Linked DNA regions of Oryzias latipes. The protein of the gene in region 1 interacts with the protein of each later gene in a pairwise test. Links are inferred from orthologs where the notes say so. Each region holds a gene or a part of one and is shown on either strand. Other genes may lie near its edges.

Region 1 (11,863 bases):
AAGAAATGGGAATCAAATCAAACTTTATTTAAAAAAGAAATTTAAACGCAAAAACAACACAAAGTGCCAGAAAGCTGACATCTGGCTCATAAACACAAACCCTGACCTCTAGTTTCTCTTTAAACCAGAATTGATATTAAAAAAGAAAAACCTGGGATTAAACAAGAAAATATTGCTTAATGCTTAGGTCTTGAAGTCATAGCAAGGGTTCAGTTGTCACAACCCAGTGCATGCTCGGATCCGCATCCCATTCTCTGAGCTGCAGTGCAGGGCCTCTAACCACAGCAACCATCCCTGATGTGGAATAATCTCACAGGGAAAGCATTGGGATGAAAGATAAAATAAATCAATAAAAAAATCAACTAAAACCAATAATTAATAAAAAATAGGAAACAACCAGAGTAAAAATATATTAAAAGTATACCGTAACAGAAAGACACACAATTGGCAAGATTTAAAAAAATAATATATATATATATAAAAAAGCGGATTGTTGGTAAGTAAAATGTATTTTTTTCTTATAGTATACAATTAAATAAAAATGTGCTAAAATAAGAAATCAGGCGTGAAAAAATAAATAAATGAATGGATCATGAGTTAGAAAATGTAGGGTTTTCTTTCCCACCCACAAAAATATGAATAAAAGTCGGACGTTTGCAGAAAATAGTAATTAACATTATAACCCATCCATCACTTATTGTGTCCAAGGTGTTGTTTGATTCCATACAGACAGAAACCAGCTCACGTGGATCCCATGAAACATCCATGTAAAACTAATGGACTTCCTGAAAATAGTGCCAATGTGCAGTTGTAAATTGAAAAAAAATAAATAAATAAAAAATAAACAGACAATTGTATGTTTATAATTTTCTTTTTTTTTTGTTGATAAATATTACATTTATATGTTTAGTTAAATGAATGCAGTCATGTACGTTTTTATAAATGATTGAAACTAATGTGATACGCCGTTACGCCTTTCCTATATCCCTCCGCCGGTTTTTGTCTCTCTCAGACTGTTTTGGTCTTTTCACTGTTAGCAACGGAAAGAGCCCAAGCTAGCTGTGAACGTATTTAGAAAAAAAAAAATTAAATCTTTTTTTAGGGTTTCATAAAAAATTGACAAGTGGCGTAACGTTTTTTGGGGGGATTTCAGGAGCGCGTCGTCTTTTTAAAACTTGTTTTTTTTTCCTGTTTTAAAAATATTTGTACAGATTGCTAATTTGAGGGAGCAACTGTGCACCGGAGTTAGTTAGCAAGCGTCTTAGCATAACATTCACGTTGACATTAGCCTGCTAGCACGTTGGCAAGCTGTCACCGAGGAAATTCACGTCTGAAAGTTGTCATTTTAAGACTTTGTTTTTTATGGGATCATTATGTCATTGAAGACCGGTGGAAATCGCAGCAAGCCCGGCGGTGGTAACACCGCTGGTGGTGGGGCCGCCTCCGGTGCCGGGGGAAGCGGCGGTGGAAGACAGAATCTGGGCAGGTCAGTAATAATATCAAAATTCATTGTAAAAATAAATTTTACTAAAGGTATCTGTGACCTCTATTCAGTAAATACATATAATCACTTTAGACGGTTTTAGTTTGAAGAGATGACATACATGCTAAATGGTAAAATTTGTGCGTGTCAGAGAATGAAATGCGGGCCTTGCGTCATGCTCTGGTCATCAGGTAAAACGTTTTGCAGCTCGGCTAGCGAGGCCTAACCGCTAATGTTCAGCAATGTTTCGACTTTTTCTAGTTATACACGGATTTAAAAAAAACAAACCATATGAATGTGCATATAAAATGTGCATCTAAACGTCCCTTTCACCTCGCATGCTCTATGTAACCCCGGCGGTTTAGAATGGCCCACCCAGAAATGTTTTTTTTTTTTTTTTGGATTGAAATGGGACATTTTATTGTGTCAACGATCATGGCATTTTCTTTCACGTACAGAGCTGTTTTGTAGAGTTTACCCAGTCAGAACATGCAATCTTTATTGTAGAATGCATCAATTGTAAGAAAGTTTGTCAGCAATATAGAAATATTTTTTTTCCTCAGGGGAAGACACGGTGGTAAAGGTCCTGCAGCTGTAAGTTACCAATAATTCTTTAAAAAAATCATATTAATATGTATGTATGCATGCTGGTTAACATGCATCTGTTACCTGCAAGTGTTTTGAATGTATTGGTGAAACACAAGTTTGTGTTTAAAAGTAGCCATGAGTCAGAAAAGCTCAGGTTAATAAAAGCATATTTTGTGCTTTATTCCAAAGTGAACTGATGTTTTGTGGATGTCATTCGGATGTGACCTACTGTTTATTTATCAGCAAATTGTGAGCAGCAGATTATGTGCATTTTCTTTCTTTCTTTCTTTCTTTCTTTCTTTCTTTCTTTCTTTCTTTCTTTCTTTCTTTCTTTCTTTCTTTCTTTCTTTCTTTCTTTCTTTTTTTAGGTCATTTTCAGTGGTGTTTATGCAAATATGAGGATGGTCCACGTTTTGACTTCAGTGGTGGTAAGTTGACCTTAATATCCTGAGTTAATTGCAATAACTGTCTTTCTATTTTGTTTCTAATATTTCCTACTAATAAAGCACAAGTCGAACATATTGTAAAGAAAATAACCACAAATATATTACTGTAGCTCACAGAGTAATAGTAGTGTTGGAGTTTTTTGTTTGGACTCATGCTGTGTTTTTAAACCTTAGGAATGTTTGTAAGGAAACAGTTGATTATATAAACAAAGATAAGATTGATCCTTTTTTTTTTGTTTATTCTGTGACAAATCCATTTGAAGTTCCTTTTTTGTTTTGTTTAAAATAATGAAATTAATTGAATAAACAGTTGCTGCATACATTAACAAAATTGCCTTTTGCAGGGGACAAAGTGTGAGCTGGAGGTGAAAAACGGTTCTGTGTACGAAGGCGTATTTAAGACGTACGGTCCAGAGGTAAGTAAAGAGCAGGAAACATGATAAAGTTCCATTGTAACTATTTTCTGCACATACCTAATAACAGATTAAGATACCAGAGTAGAGTGGGGGGGGGGGGGGGCATTATTCCTTCCATAAATTCTGTGTGTATTACTCGTGAACTTTTGAAGGTCAATCTGTTTAAAAATGTCATGTTCAGATGAACAATTTTACCGCAGCAATGAAAAACTGCAGCTCATTTAGTAAAGCATGACGCTAAACAGAAAAGACTTTTCCGTACAATTATCAAAGACTTTTCCTTATTTTATGTTTCTTAAGTATGTTACTGCCTCTCTAAGGCCGCATGTGTGTTATGTCAATAAAAATAGCAGCTTTAAAAAAGAATCTGAATATTCTTTGCTTTTAGAAGCTAATGCCACTTTTCGCACGGGGTCAAAAGAATAAAGCTCGACTTTTTTCTGTTTTTTACTGCACTGGACATTTACATTTGCAGAAATGTTTAAATGTTGATGTTTTTGTTAGCTCTTTTTAGATGGTGAGTCAACCCTGCAAAGAATGGTTAGAGGGTAGGGGGGTACTTTGAGACTGCAACGATATGTTCAGTCATTTATATTATGTAACTGTTAGGCCAGGAAAGTTTATTTGTTTAGCACATTTCATGTGCAAAGACAACTCAAAGCGCTTAACATAAAACATTTAAAGAAGCAATCAAATACATATTTAGAAAGATCATTAAAATAAGATTTGAAGAAAGTTAAAAAATAACTTCATTTAACTGAAGCATGGATAAACAGTGTGGATGTCAACTTTTGAATACAAACTAATCAAATGCAGCAGAGATCTGGTGGGTCTTTATCTGGATCTAAATAAACTAAGTGTTTCAGCTGATCTAAGGCTTTCTGGAAATCTCTTCCAGATATGTGGAGCATAGAAGCTGAGTGCAGCTCCTCCATGTTTGGTTTTTGACTTTAGGAACTGAAAAAAAAAAAAAAATTGGAGCAATCTGAATGCTTCCTATCAATTTAAATTTATACCATTGCCAACTTTTGTGCTGCTCCTTTTTCAATTTATTTTTTGACAAAAAAGCCAATTTTCTACATAAAAAGTTAAATAAGATGCAGCAGTAAGTAGAAAATGTGATGAATTTAGTTGTTGTTGTTTTTTTTAATCCAAATGTATGCACTATAAAAAGGAATGGACTAATATCTTGCAGAAGCCGGTCTGTGGTTTAACATTACAGTTAGACTAAATCCTGTGTTATTGCTTAGATTAGGGTTATGTTCATGAAGGTCAATGTCATCATTTAAGGATATAAAATATATGGTGAAAGTTTGACTAATATCTTCTCCTGATGACACATTTTTGCTAGAAGTATTCCCATGAAAGCTACTTTTTAGGATTCACAGCATCACTGTTGACACAAAAAAAGAAAAGTCGGCAAACCAGATAAAGAAAAAAATAAATTGAGCTGAGGGTTGAAGAGTAATCCAGCTGGATTGATAGGCCACATTTGTTACACCTCGTTGATTGGACAAGATGTTTCAAGGTCAAATCTAAGTTTAGGAAAATGGAAGATTTTCAAAACGATAGGAGCTCAGATTAAATCTGAGCTGCTCTTTGTGTTTAAATCAGTAAGTCTTTCCAGGTTCCCTATATGACCAGATCCAAATTGTTTCATGAAAATAAGCATAAGTCAAATAGGAAAGAAATATTGATACTTGTCAGTGGCTGAACACAAGCAAGGATCCCAGAAACCATTGCAATATCAGATTTAGTTAAATGCTACCCCGCCACTGAACTGTGAAGCAGTGGAACATTTTTTTCCCAATTTAAAAATCATGCCTGTATTTCTAGTTGGCAGTCAGATGAACGAGTCTGAGTTTGGCTGATGTTTGTAAAATGCTACCAGCCTGACTGCACTGTGCACAATATCAAAGATGGTAGAGCAGATAATAGTGGAATGGACCTTTTTCTTTTTTAAAGTCTGAGTTTGTAATATAATAGATATTATATAATCCAGTCTTTGGTGTAAAAAACACCAAAGACTGGATAATCTGCAAGAATTTCAGATTTACCTTTTGGAATAACTACCCTGACCCAGGATATGTGCACACCAGTTTCCCTCAGCAAGTGTTCCGTGTTTAGTGCAAGAATTACATTTTAAAAATAATCCATTGTAGGTAAAATCTGCAAGTTAGGAATAAATATCTTTTGAGGTTGTAAACCCCCCCCCACTGCACACTTTGTGTCCATCTGAGAAAAGTGTACAAACATTTTTTTCGCACTTATCTCTCCTGTTTAATTCTGTACAAGAGACACTGCACAGAACACATTGATTGACAAGGTCAGCAGCCAATCAGGACAAAGAACACAGTGTGCCGTTTAAAAAACAAGGCATGTAAAACTACACAGAATAAATACGCTTTGATTTGAACAAATTTCTCAAATGAACTGGGGGGGCAGAAAAGCCTAACTTTATTAGATTTACATGTAATGACTTTTAGTGGCAAAGCCAGTAAGCATTTGGAGGCAGGACAAGTTGTGAGTTCAAATCCCTTGTTGGTTTATGGTCAGATGTCTCAGTCTTCCCTCAGTATGCAACTAGTTTAGTTTTTTATTTATTCTATCCTATATTAAAATGAAATAAAATGTACTCCACCCTGTCAGCACTGACCCATTAAAGACCCACTCCAATGAAAATGATGTTTTTGTTGTTTTTGGCATATTCTTGTGGCATTTCTCTCATGATGGAGGACGAAGAGATCCATCTACGTCTTTGTTTTCCTCGTCCGAGCTGGCATCTGTACATCTCGATAGCTCCAATATTGCTCGCCATTTTTGTGGCACAGCTAATGTTATCTTGGGGCTGTAAGCTAGAGGGAGATGGAGTTAAACAAAATGAATCATGGAAAATGAGCGCTGGCTTACTTCTTCAGCAGCAACCCCGCTCACAATTCAGAGGCGAATTTCTGATGAACTTCAGAAACTATGTCCTAGAAAATGACACTTTATTTTTTTAAATTTGAATTTCACCTTAAAACGGCATAATGATAATCAAAAGATGACCAGAAACGCTTTTACAATAGATCAAAAGATGATTGCAGTGACTGTGTGAGCATATTTACTGACTATCTTTTACCAAACTATTTGACAGTTTTTCCAGGCTTTTCTTTCATAATCTATCTGAATTCGACTGTTTGTTTTTCCCCACAGTGTGACCTGGTGTTGGATGCAGCCCACAGAAAAAGCCCAGAGCCCACCACCGGCCCCAGGAAAGAAGATATTGTAGAAAGCATCATTTTCAAAGCTTCGGATGTTGTAGTCGTGACTTTTAAAGACGTAGATCCCAATTTTGCTAGAAAAGGTATAACATGTTTTTCAGCGTTCAGTAAAGAGTAAATACGCTTATTTTATGTTGTTTATTGTAACATGTTTTGAAGAATGATAGACTAAAGTAGACCTTTTTAATACACCAATTATTTTTTGTTGTTGACAACACTGGGGGAGTCCATGCTCTTACGTCATTTGTCTTTTCTTTCCTCCGGTTTAGTGTCCACTGATACAGGTAATGTATCATTTTCTTTTTTATGGCTTTTCTCAAGTATTTTTATTTACAGTTAACTCTGATTCACTTTATTTTGGCTGTCTTGTAAACGTAAGCAAACATGTCAGCATGTCACCAAATGTGACTTTATTTTTATGCTTATTTTTGTAAAAGAAGAAGGGAAATTCTTTTTAGAGGCCTATATTTCCTTGTCACGTAATAGGCAGCTATAGGCTGCCTTCTGCTTTAAACGAAAAATGATATTGGATGAATTAGAATTTCTTGTTTTTATTTTTGCTGACCTTCATAATTGTATGTTTTCACTGATCTTCATTATTACTGGTGCTGAAGTTGGATTTCCTCTGCACCACTTTTAACCAAACTATTAAGGATTTAGGATTAATTTGATTTTTATTTACTTATTGATTTGTCTGAATTCTTTAAATTGAAGTTTAATCTTGGACCGATTAGTTGTGCTAGAGTAACTAGTAAGCTTGAAAGGAGCCCTGCTGTATGACTGTCGGTGTCAGGTCTAAGAATGACCCCAAAGATTCAGTCTCATTTCCTTGTAGATATTAGTTGGAGTTACCTCTGTCAATGCCAAAGCATTTTATACATATGCAAGTACAGATTCTTCATGAGACTTAATATGAAACAAGACAGTTTTTATTGACGCTCAAAACAAAACACTCTAAAGCCACAAACTAATCTGGGACTTCTCACTATTTGTTTTTATCTTGGATTGCACTTTAATCCGTTCTACATTAAATAAACCAATTTTAAGCAGCATTTTATATTATAGCGTCTGAGCAGATGTTTCTGTAGATTCAATATTTACCGATTATAGTACATTAGTTCAGTCCTAACTTACTGTTGGAATTCATCCATGTCTTAAATTACTCTGCCATGTATTATCTATTGATTTCCTTTTCTTTTAATTAGACAACTTCACAGATGCAGCCGTCACTGGAAGGATCAATGGAGAGCACAAAGAGAAGGACCTGGAGCCCTGGGATGGAGGTGATGGTCACAATTCGGACAGCCTCGAGTCTCTAGATACAGATGTGGTGAGAAAATGAACACAAGCATGACAGTAATGTTGATGCCTCCCATGTGGTACATCAAAAGTTATTATTTTAGCCACAATATTGACAAAAACACATCAGAGTTTTAGCAATTTATTTAGACCTTTCTGTGAAATTCTACTTTCTCCTCAAACCAGTCAAACGGATGGGATCCCAATGATATGTTCAAGTACAACGAGGAGAAGTATGGAGTCTTGTCCACGTATGACAGCAGCCTGTCCACATATACGTAAGCTCTGACCTGCTTCTTCATCTACATATTGCTAACACAAGGCGGGGAACACTGGAAACGCATGCTAGATAAGCCTGGCTGTCAACATTGTGCACCGTTCTCGACCAATTCGATCTTGTTTCCCAGACTCCCCTTGGAGCGTGACAACTCTGAAGAGTTCCTGAAGAGAGAAGCTCGTGCTGCTCAGCTGGCAGAGGAGATTGAGGCCAGCGCCTCGTACAAGGCCCGCGTGGCGTTGGAGAACGATGAACGCACTGAGGAGGAAAAGTACACTGCTGTGGTGCGAGGGGACAGGGAGACTCACACACTTGGCAGGTGAGAGCAAGACGCACGCCACAAACCATCATCATGTACAGATCTCTGCGTTGAGGTTTAGTAGGGGGTTAATAGCATGTTGGGATTTTATTATGTTAATCTTCTTCAGTAGTTCTATACTTCAAGTTCCATTGAAATTCAACAGTAGATTAAAAAAAAAGTACAATAGTTTTTAGTTCTTTTTATCTTTTTTTTACCCTTGCAGGAACAGTTTCTCAAAGTGAACTATGTGAGGTTGTGCAACTAGACCTGCCTGTTATCTAAATCTACACGCACTTCCATAAAGCTGTGTAGGCCCTGAATACATTGTTAGGAGGAAAAGTTCCTAAAAATTAAACTACACTGAACTGAACCAAGTCGTAATGAATCTGTTCCTTCACAGACAGGACTTCCAGCAGCTGCTTGTTGAACCACAAGTAATTAAAAAAATATGTGTGTGTGTATATATATCTATGGAGTTTCGTGTGCTTCTAGTTCAAAATAAAGTAAATACAGTTTTCTTTTTTCCTGAATATAAAAATAGCTGACCTGTTTTATAGTTTTGGTTTAGTTTTGGTTTAGTTTTCATATTTTTTGGGTTGTAATTAATACTTATATTTGTTTTCTGTTGTTTGTGCTAAAATGTAAAACAATTTAAAACACACTTTAAAATTTTAAATCAGTTTTTGTCAAAGTTATCTTTAAGATAGTTCACAACGCTGTAATTTTAAAACGGCTCTCTGTGTGCAGCTGAGAGGGTACTGCAGATCAACGCTTCTCCTGTTTATCTGAAACCTCTTGTTTTGTCTTTTTGTATCTAAATGCAGAGAGAACAAGTACGTTCCACCAGGTCAGAGGAACAGGGAGCCATTGTCATGGAGCACAGGGCGACAGAACTCTCCTCGTCTGGGTCAAGGTTCTGTTGGACCTTCAGCTCCTCGGCCGGGACCCCACGACTACAGTCCCAACTCTGGGACAGACCAGAGAGTGGTCAACGGAGGTATGTTTATTGCAGAACTTGCAGTTCAGGGGTTACTTTTTACACTATTAAAAAAAAAAACCTCTTAGTTGATGCTAAAAATGTTTTCTATGGAGTGACGTAAATGTGGCCACCTCTTATTTATTACATTGTCATTTTTCTATCCTTTTTTGTGTAGCCTTTGAAGAATAACAGTTATTATTTCAGATCTTTAATGTTTTAAGAAAAAACATTTCATGTTATTCTGCTTTAGTTGTGCCAACCCTCCCTTTTTCTATTACTGCTATACCTTTTTTGTTTCTTTCTCCGCCTCCACTTTTGCTAGTTCGTCATCCTTGATCATTTGTCCTTGCCTCTTTTAGGTTCATCCCATTGGCCCTCACCCTGTCCGTCTCCTTCCTCTCGTCCCCCCTCTCGTTACCAGTCTGGCCCCTCCTCTCTGCCTCCTCGGGCGACCACGCCCACAAGACCACCCTCCAGACCCCCCTCTCGACCTTCCAGGCCTTCCTCTCATTCGTCCCATCCCTCCTATTCTTCCTCTTCATCCTCCTTTTCTCACCATGGGCCCACGTCGCCAGCCTCCACTCTGCCCAAACGCATGTCTTCAGAAGGTATCCACATGATTGTGGAGCAGACCTGGGCAAAGACTCCATGAAAGTTGAGGGATTGAAGTTGTCACGCTCTAAAAAAACAACAGAACGGTTACAAAAAGGAATAAATACAGTGGAAAAACTACTTTCATAAACACATTTGCCCAGGTCTAATGTCAAACAGAAGTGGTGAAATTGCTTTCTCAGACTGATTTGGGGTCAGATTTTTGACAGATTAACCCAAAAAAAAGTGTTTACCTGTGTTTGCTTTACGCCCTACCGAATGAATCCAATTGGAAGTGCTTAAGGCTGACCCTTTGTCAGTCATACAGGCAGTTTCATCTTGGCATGTGGGTGCATCAAGGTGTTGTGCTGTTTCTGTGCTTTCTGCCTAACAAAGGTGCAAAATGCAAAGTCACCAGTTTCTCACCTTGTTTGCAGCAAAGCAGGGCTCACTTATCAGACTTTTAATCGATAAAACCCACTACTGTACAGCCTCGTGAGGTTGTCAGTGAGATATTTAACACTAAAATGATACTTTCAGAAGTTTGAAAGTCCATTATTAGTAGTTTTTGTTTACTTTGTTTCTGCATTTGCAGGTCACTGGATTGAAAATGTCTATGAAGATGGAAATTTAATAAGCTTTGGCATTACATTTTTATATTTAAAAAATATTTTTTCCATTCCCCCCCCCCCCCCCCCCCCCCCCCCCCCAAAAATGTCTCTACAAGACCATCACTAGCTACTCATTTGCACTCCTGGCGTACATTGGAAATGTGTCTGACTGTCAGACTAGTCAAAGTCAACATGTTCTTCTCAGACCTCAATATAGTTTTGGTTTGATCCAAATTTAACACTCTGTCGCACTTTTAAACTTTTCTTACCATCTTGGATCCAGTTTTTGAAAGATGTTCATAACCTTGAGAAGGAACCTCAATTGTCATTTATTTTACTAATAAATGGCCGATTTTCTATGTTTTCTTGAAAGCTGTGGAATAAGTCAGCAGGATACAGGCAGTAACTCACCATGGAAACCGAAGTAAACTGGGAAATATTTCAGTCCTTACATTGGTTCCACAGATGTAATCTGGTAACAGGACAGTGTTTGGACCAAATGACCTTGAGCAGCTGCATCTCATAATCACTGTTTAGAAATGGTGGGATGAATAATTTAGAGCTTGATGCTTCTAACTTCATAAATAATACATACAAATTTAAAAGAATACACAAAAGGCAATGGAGAACATGCACTCGATACAACAATGTATAACAGTTTAGACTTTCGTTTATTTGATACTGAATCCTGTGAGCTAAATAAAAAGATTTAAGTATAAAATTTGCCCCATTCTTAAAGCATTACTGTCTTTTTCTTTTTTTAGTCCAATATTTTGTCTCACTTTTTTTCCCCATTTTCTGTGTCTGTCCTCCTTTGATTTGAAGTGTCTTTTGGTTTTTCAATTATCACAAGATCAGTTTCTGTTTATTAACATCCATTTCACCACTTTAAAAGTGACACTGAAACGCATCCTTAAGATTCAAAAGCTGCATACCGTTGGGGTTTAACTGTTACTGTTATTGAAATAAACTTTTACAATGATCAAAATAACATTTATACTTCTCACTGTCTGCTTATGAAGGCATGCTTACTTTATCTGCAGGCCCTCCCAGGATGTCTCCAAAATCCCAGCGCACCCCTCGTTCTCACAGAGTGCCCCCCTCTCGAATCAGTGGAATGCCCCCCGGAGTGGACTTGATTTCCCACAATTCACCAGGAGAGGCGCCAAGCGGTCCACCCAACAGGAACAACTCTTCTGAAGGAACCTGGTCCTCGGTAGTCAGTGGAGGTAAATATTTTGTTTTTGAAATTGATTTTTAACTTTTAAATTAGCTGAAATATTTATTTTCTTTTGTTATCAAAGCAGATTTCCTTAATTGGGGACAAGGTTTAGACAAACATAAATTGCTTTATATGCTTTTTTTTCTTCTTCTTCTTTCTTTTGTCAGTAAATCAAGTAAAAATGAATATATTTAAATGCTAGGCATTAAAAATGGACTGGAGGTAATCAGTTGACACATCAGTTAACTTCCGATTAGCTGCCCTCAGCTTATCAGACCAAGACATTCATGACAGCTGCAGTTTATCTGTGGAGCTGCAGTTACGCAGCTGCAGTGTTTTTGTGGTCGACTCCACAAACCCTGATCAAACATTGCATTACACCACGAG
Region 2 (11,863 bases), on another chromosome or scaffold:
AAATAGTACGGGACTATCCTATATTTTCATGTCATTGAAAAACAAATAAGAACCTTTTGGAAAGAAAACTTATGTATTCACTCTGTTCTGACGATCAAAAGTTGGATTATTAAAAAAATGTATAAAGATTTGAACTGTAAATTGGGACATCTCGTAAAAATTGGACCCATGTGGGATCTAGAAGATGGATACTCCTAATGCAGCAAGTAGATCCAGCTAACAGGATAATAACCTATTAGCTTGGAAATAATGGAAGAAAGGTCAATAAAAACAACATCTAAGCCTTTGTACTAACATAACGCAACTTTTACAGAAATGTTTCAAGTCCAAAGTACAGATTAACGAGAGGATCATCATAGTGTTTATGCTTTATTGTCATTAGATTGTACTTCATCTTCACGACAAGCAGTTATACATACAGTGGTCTTTAAGTATATCTTTGTCCAGTACAAGGAGAGCAACAGTTAGTGTCACAGCTAGCTTTGTACCCCAATGACCAACCCATCCGCCCCCCCACCCCCACACCCCTCCATTAACCAGCCCCTCCCCCAAAGGTCCACCCTCCTCCACATTACACAGCAATGTGCCAACAACCGTCAATTACACCACAGGTGCCTGACCAATAAATAGGACGCTGGAATAAATAAACAAACAACCAAATAAATAAATACATACAACACCTACATAAATAGCAACAAGGTGTTTCTATATTTACATACACACAGGCAGCTCTCCAGAGGACAGGAGCTTTTCTGATTCATTTTGAAATGTTTACGACCATATAGTTCTATGACGTAACGCGGGTCAGACCACGGCCACATTATCATGCCCCAGAGATGACGGTGCAAAACTGTATCAGCCTTTGCTCAACAGCAGGCCGGGCCTGACTGCTTATCAGAGGAAAAGACGCTAAAAAAGATTTTTTTACACTGAGCAAAGTTGACCTTTTTAACATTTTTGAAGTGAGTTATTGTGTGATAAACTCAATTTTCCTCAATGGTTCTAGAGGTTTAATCTACCGACGAACTGTGTCCTGTCAACACCTTTGGACTGAAACCTTACAGCTCCTCGTCCCGCTAAAGTTGGCATACGAGACGTCAGTACCAAGATGACGGTGCAGTGCTCAAAAGTGACGAGCACAGGAAAAAAACCTGCACTTCCTGCCGTTCTGAGGAAGTTTGTTCCACATAAGCGACTCTGCTTTGCTTAAACGATTTAACATAAATACAAAGCTGCAGAAGACGGAAAATCCTGACAGCCTTCATGTTAAAATGTGGATTTCTGTGATTGAAATTCAGGTTTAATTGGTTTATAAATATATAAAAAAGCTTTTTTTTCTGCTTCCCTTCAGAGACAGGACTGACGCTTTCAGCCAGAGGAGGCCGCCAATGTGGTCGAGGTCTGACTGTCAGACGGTGAAAACACAGAAACGCTGTACAATCCCTCATTGAGGTTAGAATACATGTCGCCATAGAGGGCAAATCAGCGAAGAAAACGTGAAGTAGTTTAAAAAAAACAGGGTTCAGAGAATGAAGTCTTAAAGCACTAAATCAAAAGGCTGCATGGATGTGGGCCAAGCTGGTGAAAATATAAAAAACAGTGAAAATAGTTACAATAAGAAGGAAATTAAATTCAAAGCTAACAGGAAGAGAAGGGGGAAAAGGTTTTCCTCCTTTAGTTTCTTATGTTAACTTTCTGTTTAGATTTTTGGAAACCCCCTCTTCACATCTCAAACACAATTCACAAACAGGTTTGGAAAATTCAGATTTTCCGACACAAAAGGAGGTCAAAAACATTTTGAAAGGGAAAGCCCTGTCTTTTACGACCACCTGAAACAGGACTGTTCACTTTGCATTTGTGTTTTTAATGTCCAACATGACCGCAAAGAAAATCTTCCTTCATGAAATGTTAATTTTTATAAACGTATTGCCTTTAGTGTTGATTGGATCAGGATATTGAACTTCCTAAAGAACTTCTTTCCAAAAGAATTTCCCCATCGTGGGATAAATGGTGTCTTATCCACTCTAATCTAACTCGTGACACTTGTTTTAATGTTGAACTTTATGCTCCCCAAACAAGTTGTGGAAAAACTATGTATTCAGTTGACTCTTTCTATAGAAACACAAAATAAAAGGTAAAAAACCAAAGGAACGTTGTTTATTTGGTAAACTCTTGTATTCTGACTAAGTGAAATTTAAACAAAACACCGCTGAGTATTCAGTTTCAAAGAATTGGTGTGATCTGGAGTCCTGTACGTGCTTATTTATCATTCTGTTTAAATAATCTTCAATGAGTTTGTATATTTTTTATAAAGTCTACTCTGTCTCTAAAGTCCATGCCGTCCCTAATGGTTTGACTGCAACGACTACATGCCTACTTAAATAAAAAAAAAGTAACGCAAAACCTTTTTTTTAAACAATACAAAGCATACTAAATGCAGTTTTTAAAATATATATATCTATACTTCAATGCAGAATAACTAAAGTATTTTGCAACAAAACAAAAAAAAGTAACAGGTTGGCCACTTCTGCAATATTAGCAAATTGTTGGTTAGACGAATGCAAAACAATTGGTCATATCTGGAACGTTAGAATTCACTATGCTAATGCGAGAAAACAAATAAACAGTATAAAGAAAATAAGAAATATTTTTTTAGTATTGTAATATCCATACCCAATGCATTGTGGGAAGTAATGTTTTGTGTTTTCATGGTTTGCACCACAAGTTAATGGGTTCTGGAAGTGGTAATACAGCACTGAAACCGGTCTGTTAAATGGTTCGTACCGCGGACATTGGACTGTGCCATTTATGTTGTGCCTCCTGTACTTCTGGCTGCTCTGGGTCATGAGGTACATGGGGCTCGATTTAGCTCATCATTCTGCTATCTAGTGCGGTTTAAGCAGTAGATGCATTTTGTTAGTCTCAGCATAGTTAGCTGAGTTCTGCCTCATCTCATTCCTAACGTGTATCTAGCCATTGCGGCAGCTACATTTGTGTCAGAAGTGGGATTTCCACTGTCAGAAAACCACCATAATAGAATGAAACTCAACAATGCTAACTAGCAGGGTACTAGCAAACACTGCCTTAACCACACTAAAAGACAGAATGTTGAGCTGACTTGTCCTCCATACAACCCTGAGCAACCAGACGTACAGGAGGCACAACGGAAATGGCGCAGTCCAACGTCCTCAGTACAAACAATTTATTATAAATAATCAGGCACACACAACATTGCAATGACAGTGTGACGTCACCCTGTGAGAAACCCACTAAAATCTGGTACAAACCAAAACAAAACCGAACAAAGCATTACTTCCCACAATGCATTGGGCAGAGTCATTATGCCCTATTAGAACTAGCTATGCTAATCTGATGGTTTTAGTCCTTCCTGATACATTAGATATGCTAATTTGAAGAGAAAAGCTAACGATTAGCCACCTCTGCCATGTTAGCGATAGTAATGTGAGCACAAATGTATGCTAAAAATGAGTTTACATTTTTATAGTTTGAAATTTTAAGCAGTTTCCATTTAGAGCACACTGGATTCTTTTATAAATGACGTTTGCGTTGACTGCTAGCTCTCACACAACAAGAAGCTCTTTATTATTGTCTGAAGAAACCATCTAAACCTGCAGATAATGCTACGTAACAACACATTTTCCGTTTCACTTCCAAACCAGCTACAGAACACCTCCTAATTACAGAAAACATTCTCAGCTTTTTACTAGCAACACTTAACAGGTGCAAAGGCTACAATCTTTAACCGCAAGCTATATTTCAAAAGCTGTTAGGCTCGTATTACATCTGTAACAATACTAACCTGGTTTCACAGATGTTTACACACAAACCAAAGGTTTCTATTTCTGGTGAGAGTTAGTTTTCCTTCCAGATATCAGCATTAACAAAAGCGTATCTCCAAGAGACTTTAAAAAAAAACAGCTAAATTAACCTGATTCATGGTGTGTCTGCTAAACTGTAATGCTGTTACTAGTAATACTTGTTATGGAGGATAAACATGGTAACCGGTTACCAGCACTAACTTCTTCTGTTTAGCTTAATGTTGGAGCTGCATGAGAAAACAAACCAGTGATAATAATGTTTCATCAAACATCTGAAAGTTTTCAATTTTTATAACTTTTGTTTATTTTTATCTGTATGCCAATTCTGTTAGGACATGGCGTTTCCTGTATGTTTTTGGGCCATTTTTGGTACCTTTTATAAATTCTATGTTAAAAGACAAAACTTTACTCATAAACATTTTTTAAAACAATTTTTCAAAACAGTTTTTGTGTGAAAAGACCTGCTCCCCACATCACTAGTTCTACCATTATGGCTATAGGGGACGTCCGTTCAGCCTTCAGTACCAGAGTTACCACCGGTGAGACGAAATAACAGACGGACTACCGTAACTCTTTGACCATTTATGCAATGAACGTGATTCCAAGATAGGCGATAGGCTGAGAAAAGCGGCTATGTTTTGGCTCAAAGATGCTTTTCTCCGTCTCAGAGTTAGGTTACTTGAGTAAGCGGTTGAAGAGTTATGGTAGCTAAGTTAAAGAGCGCCAACACAGGAGCTAAAGCTCTGGTGTTAAAGGGTAATCAATCTTTGAAATATTTGTAGGAAAAGCTAAATAAAAATGTCAAGAATGGGCAATAAATAATCAAGGACTCTACAGTTTCCTCTAGACTTTAGTGTGTTTTCTGTAAAACTACACACACTGTGTTTAGAAGAGAACCTTTGTGAAAACAACGTTGTGCTCTTAAGCCAGGCAGCTTCACATAAGCAAACCATCTGCATCTGAAAGTCACATTTGGGGTGTTGGTTCCGGCAAATCCTGAATGGGCTTAACGACATTTCTGGAGCGCCTAGCCTGTTAGCTCATCCTGCATGCAAAAGCCACAGATTAGACAAATTGACGAGCACCAACTCCACAGAGTACAAACCAACAATGTAACTGAATACTATCTAAGTTACTTAGATAAGAACATAATCAAATCCAGCAGCCTGCTGAAGGCTGCTCGGTCTCGCCTGCTGGTTGGAAAAGCGCCTCTCCATCTGACCATGTTCACTTCGTTGAATGAATTTTCTAGATCTTCATCCAGTAAAAGCCGGCTGACCCTTTAAGAGGCGGCTAAATCTATAATACAAGGCAAACGGATGTCACAAAAAGTGACGAAAAGTTCACTTATTTATCCTGAAAACACTGACTTATTGGAGGTATGTCTTTGTTCCGGCCATGCACTCCTGGAACCCGAGTTTCCCCAGAGTCTGATCACTTTAGGTCTGGATTCATCTGGTTCATGCAGCTGAAGGTTTACACAGGTTCTAAAAGAAGCAGGATACGTTACAAGAACCGCTAAAAGTGGGTGAGACGTTCTCAACAGCAGAGGCTGCAGAGCTGCAGATCCTAGAGGGAATACAAGTCAAAGGAGCAAGAGAAGAAGGCTAGAAAGACCGCTGTGATGGTTGCTGGGAGTTTAAGAAACGGATAAGAAGGAAAGTCAAGGTAGAAAAGACCGTTTCCTCCTGGAAAGGGAAGAAGAGGACAAAAAAACAACAGAAGAAACTGTTATGCAGTTGATGGACAAGCAGGAGTTTGTGCTGGCTTCATCATAACAGAGCACGAACAGGTCACACAGACATGCACATACATAAACCCTGGGCCTCGTTTCTCCACAGCATCATTGGTGTCCAGTGCTGCCAGGTTGAGCCACGCCCTGTAAAGGATCTCTTCATCTCCTACAGACTTCTGCATCCATCTTTGTTAAAGTCTCCGTGTCAGGATTTTGTGTTGTCCGGCCGTTTTCCGTTTCAGTTTCTTGTGTGAAAGCAGAATCGCACAGAAGCACAGAAGAAGAATACAAAGAAGAGAAAGGGCGTGGTTTGTTTTGTAAATGCAGGTTGTCTTCTGGGTGTCTGGATTGAAAGGAGGCGAGCACCAGGTCGCCGACCGGACTTAATGAGGGAGCGGCACCAGGATATCCACATAGTTGATGGGGAAGAAGCCCGACTGGCCATTGATCATGCCCTCGTACCAGTTGTCGTCGATCTGATTGGTCAGGGTGATGATGTCACCCTCCTTGAAGCCCAACTCCCCCTCGTTTTCTGGCTCAAAGTCGTAGAGCGCTCGGCAACACGGCTGGTCCATGGGGGCTGCAAGAGAGTGAGAGTCAAAACCAATTCTGCTAGTGTAGAATTCATCCGTTCGTCCATCCATCCACCCATCCATCCATCCACCCATCCATCCATCCATCTATCCATCCATCCGTCCATCTATCCATCCATCCATTCATCCATCCATCCATCCATCCATCCACAGGTTTTCATTCTCTCATACGTGTTTAAACACCAATGGGTTTGGATTTAGACCCCCCCCCAACAATAGTTATAGAAGTTTTGCTTGCCGCTCTGAAGCGTCACAGGAAACACATCACCAATGATCTCAGAGAGGTTGCTGCTGATGAACATCGACCAAGGCAGAGAAATGGAACAATATTCACTGCGGCTGCGATATTCCAATAGTCTTAAAAAAGACTAATGGATCTTTCTGGCTCTAATGCCTCTAATCTGCTTAAAATAGAAAAGGTTTGCCGCTGTGTTCTGATCAGAGTAAGTGAGATGTCAGGGTTTAGAACTATCTCAGTCCAGAACACAGAGTTCTCAACAATTACTCAACAAATGGTTGCTATTTTGGTGTTTTTTGGAGAAGTCATGAATTGGTGTCGTTTCAGTCCCTATGCTGTCTCGGTTGAAGGTGACTGCACAGCCGGTGTGTGTTTCTCGCCATATTTCCTACCTGGTGATCTTCCGGGAGATTTGGCAGAGTGTATCCCCCCATTGTGGCTCTCGCTGGGGGGCAGCAGCTCCAGTGTCATTCTGGGTTTGGGACTGTACTCTTTCCTGGGTTTACTGGAAACTTCTTTTATCCTGGAAAGAAGCCAGAAGGAAGAGCTTTTTTCATTTGTGACCGCTCATTTCTGGCCCCAGCAGGCGGGCGGATCGATACCTGTCCTCCATCTTGCTGGAGAGCTGCTGCAGGATTTCGGCGGCTCGGCTGTGGTACTCCAACTGAGCCTGGACCAGCGCTGCCAGCTGGCTCACCTGCTCGATCTGCAACACACACAGGCATGTTTATCAGCTGCCTCTCATGCATGCTGGGCCTGGCCTCCTCCGCCTGGCAACCAAGCGCCTGTCTTTATTTTGTGGTTGCGGTTTTAATCAGGAGGGGGCTTTGGCTAAATATGTGTAACTATAGCAACAAGGGAAGCATTTGGGAAAGTAGAACAGGGCCAGATTTCTGGAGGACTGAATGAACAGGTTTATCCTCACGTCGCTCTCCAGCAGGTTGAACATGCTCTGCTCTGCGATCTCTTTGCTCTCGTCAAACTTCTCCAGCGCTTGTTTGATCTCCTCGTCCTGAACTTTTCCCTGACGTTTCTTCTTGTAGTCGAAGTCCAGGCGACGACCCTCCATCTTCTTCAAATGGTGCTGGATTGGATGGAAACATGTTTGGGATCAGAAAGGAAAACTAAGTCCTGACAGAGGGGACTCAAAGCTAAGTCATTTAGAAAAAACCGTACCTGGATCTCTTTCAGGTCTTTGTCGTGGAGGTTCTGCAGCGGGTCGATGAAGTTCTGTTTGACCTCCATGTCCAGAGCGTCCTTCACCTCCCCGAGCTCCTTTATCGACTCGCCTGCATCGATGAGAGCCATGCCTGAGGAGAGGAGGAGAGGGGATGAGAAACAGAGTCAGGAGGAACTTCCAGAGGAAGTTCTGATGAGGATCCAGATCATCATGTTCTGGTTTAATGCAGATAGACTGAAGTGCACCAGACATACAGAGGGCAGGTCCAGGGGGCTTTTGATGCTGATGGACATTTTTAGAAATGAAACTTTAACCAACCGTTCTTCGGGATCTGCTTGCATCAGGATGAGAAGGTTTCATGATGGCTTCTCTCTGAATGCAGGTTTATATGTTTGGAACATCTAAGTGTTGAATAGGAAATAGACCTGAACTTTGGTGTCTGCAGCTGCATAGATATTTGTGAAGCTAATCCACCCATTGAAGTCAATCGCAGACCGCATTGGTGGACGTCCACATGTGGATTTAGCAGTATGAAGCTACTGTAGCTTTAGTCTAACTTTAAGAAATGATGTTAAAGCTGAAATAAAATGTATATCCATTTGTCGTCAATCGTCTCTTTTGATTGATCTGAATGGATGAAGGCTCTGAACCTGAACAACATCTGCAGAACCTCTTCATCCACACAAACACACTAGTTCACAGACCGACGAACGAGGGATGGCGTTGATGGGTGGTACCTTCATTTATCCAGGTAGACGTTTAAGAACAAGTTCATGACCCTGCCAAGAGGCTACAGATACAACCCAAGTCCCTGGATGTTCAGTTTGTTTCCTATTGGAAACAGGATTTAACCCTCTGACATCACAGATGTCACTGGTGACACCTAAAAAACACACGCTCTTTGTCATTCTGTAAGTCTTCCACTGTTTTATGCGATCAACACTTTGCTGATTTTCTCCACAACAGAATCCGCTGGAATTACGTTAATTATAATTAAAATTATTGAAGAGTTACAGTAGTCCAAAGAATGCCAACACTGGAGCTAAAGGGTTAAAACCCTTTGGAGCCACAGATCCTCCTTTCAGGACCTGGTGAGTCAAGACCTGGAGACCTGGGAGTGAAATCTGAGATTCAGGACTGTTTAGCCAACTCCTGCTGACAGGTGGAAAGTCTCAGAGGCACAGGAGCTCCTGCCAAAACAAACAGGTTTTTGTTACAATGTTGAGGAAGGAGCGGACGATGTGCCAAAAGACACGTCACCAGACCAATGAAAGCTTTGGAAAAACACAGAGCCGAGCTTTTTCGTTCCTGACTTGTTTGAATAGCTGGAGTAGACAGGACTTTAGTTTACTCTGTTCTGAAGGATAAATATTTTCTCAACACCGCCACAGCCACAGCCACAGCCACCGCTCCATAGCATCATCAGGTGCCAACGGTGTGTCGATATTTGGGATTCTGCAGTTAGTCTGGTGTTACAAATCTGTATTTTTGATATTTGAAGGTCATGGGGAGTACAGAAGAACTCCACTGAACACATAACATTCCAGGAACATTCCCACTCACCAAAACTGGACTCTTCTCCCAGCTCTCGTCCAAACTTCAACATGGCGTCCCCCAGGATGGTCTCAGCTTGCGGGTAGCCCGGCCCCTTGTCCTGGCCGCGGATCTTGGACATGGTGTTGATCATGCTCAGCTTGGCTCTGGATGCTGAGGGGAATCAGGAGCGTCAGTGTTTGTGCTGTGGTCGGGGAAGGTGGGGGGGTGTTTGGTACCTGGGTTGGGCTGAAGGTACTCTGTGGTTTTGGTCATGATGTCCAGCACCGCTCTGCTGGTGATGTCCACCTTCTGTGGAGCAACAAGAAAAACAACATTTCAGACAAAAAGGAGCAGCATGAACGTAGAAACATTTCAAGCTGTTTGTTTTGTAGCTGGATGCTCAGATGATCCACAGATTCCTTAACCCTTAAAATGCTTTTCTTGCATTCTTTAGTGCTATAGATAATTCCTAACAAATGAGACTCATGTAAAGTAGATAAAAGACAAACAGAAGAACCTTCTCCATCTCTTTGAAGTCATCATCTAGCTTGGTTCCTTCGGCTCCTCCAACCTTCTCACTGACTTTCTGTGAGGAGACAGACAGAGAAAGGGTTCATGATGTCTGCCTTCAAGCTCTTCATCGTCTGGGTGCAGAAACACTCGCCGGCGTTGACAGTCTTTCATGAAAAGTTAAAGTGAGACGTGCTGCTTCTGCCGCTGTGAGATTAAAGCAGAGATGAAAAATAGAATTCTCAAAGGAGGAAATGAAATAACAAGCAGCTTGTGGTCTTTGGAAGTGTTATTAGTTCTGTTTGACTGTCAAGAACCTCGGCGACCACATTTATGATGAAGTGGAAACGAAAACAAAAAGAAAATTCATATTAAACTTCAAGGAAAAGAAAAGGGGTCAACCTTAAACCATGAAATGAAATAAAAAGTTTCCTCTTTTTAGCACCAACAGGAACAAAGTGAGTCAGAAAGCCTTTTTTTCCTGGAGGTGTAAAGCGAGCAGCCTGAACATCTCAGACTCTTGGATGAGGTGAAGCCGTCTGAACTGGAGCAGCAGATCCGCCTTTATGCCTTTAACGTCATCCTTTTATGTCTGTCACAATAAAGCCGCTCCATCACGCCGTCCTAAAAGGCCGACTCATTCAAGAGTCTGTTTCCACTTTCAGTAGATGTCTGAGTGACGCAGACAAAAGCATTTCTCTGCTGCTATGAGTCCATGAATGCACTCTAAATGTAAAACAGGATTTCATTCACATACAGTCCCATTAATAGACCCCCCCCCCCCCCAGCGGTGGTTCATCTCCAGCTGGTGACCTTCCAAACCAAACTATCCACGGAAACCAACCGCTGTGGATCCAACAACAACCAGAACTTCCAGTGTGAAACTGTCCTGAGAGCCCCAGGTTCTTTTCTCACAGACTCTGACCCCCAAAGACTAAACTCTTACTGTTATGAAAGTCACTTCTAAAGAAAGTTTTAACTTTGAGAACACCAGAGGACTCCAACAAAACGCTTTTGGACAGTAGCTACTTCATGAATCCTGTCAGCGGATTACAGTTGTTGATCAGTAATACTTTAGTCCCAGCTGCTCCCACAGGTGGATGTGAGCTGTAGGTGAGTAAAAATGGTCAAACAGGTGATCCAGTAGAGCCAAAATGCTCATGCACATGTTTGCTACAGGCATGCTGCAGGCAACAGGTCATAGTGAATACTCATACGACACGTAAGGGTGAGTAAGGGGGAAGTGGGTGAGGCAGTTTTCAAATCCTGTGCACTGCGCAAGGAGCCAATTAGTCCTAGTCACGTGATTTACTACACTCCTTATGTGCAGCCTGACTGGTAGAATTGCAAACGTTAGTCAGAGTGTAGATTGTGTGGAAATCCTACAAACGTCCACTTACGTATCACATGAACTCAGTGTGTTTGACATTTTTGCATGGTCAGTAAGAAGCCAACACTTGCTCCTAACTAACGACTTACAACAGCGTATCACAGCTTCATCTGTACGTCATAAGTGTGTGCAACTCCTTCAGAATACTCCACGATACACGTACCACACGCACGGCAATGGTGCGTTCCATTTTCATGACATTCCTTGCGGTGGCCATTCATGTTTTAGGGGAACTGCCCTCCCCTTAGGATGCGACTACTCTTCTCTATGACCCTCCACGGGCCCACAGAACCCAACCCTATGCTTCAATAGAGAAATAAACACCTGTTAGTCAGAAGAACTATTCTTCCTCTGATGCCTTTTTTGCCATCATAGATCATAGAAACCTGTTTACATGTGAACACAAGAGTTTTGAACATGGAAGTCTGAACATTGCTTGAAGAATTAATAAGCAGGATGCAGTTATCTGGATATTATTTAAAATATTTTCATAGCTCGTGATGCATCCGTTTAAAAAAAAAATCTGAATATGCCATAAATACAAAGTGTATAATCTGAGACCATCTGTGATCTCAAGCTAAACCTCAGCAGAATCCCTACGACTTCATTCAGTGAAGTCATGTGGACCCGGTTCTCAGCAGTCCTCACTCATCTACACAAACACTTAGCCGTCCAGACCCGAGCTTCAGTGAGACACCGAGGACAACCTGTGATTACTGCAGCCTGATGGAGGGAAATGAGACGGCGACGCCCGGATGTTCTCCACACAAAGATTAAAAAAAAATTCTAAACAATGTAAAAGCACAGCGGGAAGGAAATGTGTGAGGAGCAGACAGTTGGTA

The links.
Region 2: the proteins of atxn2 (region 1) and endophilin-A1 interact in binary tests that used the Homo sapiens proteins (3 or more experiments, as listed by UniProt). The link is inferred for Oryzias latipes from reciprocal best matches to the Homo sapiens genes ATXN2 and SH3GL2.

The regions. Positions count from the first base shown.
Region 1 is NC_019867.2:7,490,245-7,502,107, reverse strand, and holds the start of atxn2 (ataxin-2), read left to right. Parts: upstream 1-1,004; 5' UTR 1,005-1,373; coding exon 1,374-1,486; intron 1,487-2,046; coding exon 2,047-2,077; intron 2,078-2,439; coding exon 2,440-2,499; intron 2,500-2,861; coding exon 2,862-2,933; intron 2,934-6,128; coding exon 6,129-6,279; intron 6,280-6,465; coding exon 6,466-6,480; intron 6,481-7,401; coding exon 7,402-7,526; intron 7,527-7,681; coding exon 7,682-7,773; intron 7,774-7,902; coding exon 7,903-8,091; intron 8,092-8,897; coding exon 8,898-9,070; intron 9,071-9,411; coding exon 9,412-9,660; intron 9,661-11,297; coding exon 11,298-11,483; intron 11,484-11,863. UniProt on the Homo sapiens protein: Involved in EGFR trafficking, acting as negative regulator of endocytic EGFR internalization at the plasma membrane.
Region 2 is NC_019876.2:2,734,044-2,745,906, reverse strand, and holds the end of endophilin-A1, read right to left. Parts: intron 9,708-11,863; coding exon 9,639-9,707; intron 9,431-9,638; coding exon 9,358-9,430; intron 9,293-9,357; coding exon 9,149-9,292; intron 7,716-9,148; coding exon 7,582-7,715; intron 7,490-7,581; coding exon 7,331-7,489; intron 7,112-7,330; coding exon 7,008-7,111; intron 6,929-7,007; coding exon 6,798-6,928; intron 6,155-6,797; coding exon 5,958-6,154; 3' UTR 354-5,957; downstream 1-353. UniProt on the Homo sapiens protein: Implicated in synaptic vesicle endocytosis. May recruit other proteins to membranes with high curvature. Required for BDNF-dependent dendrite outgrowth.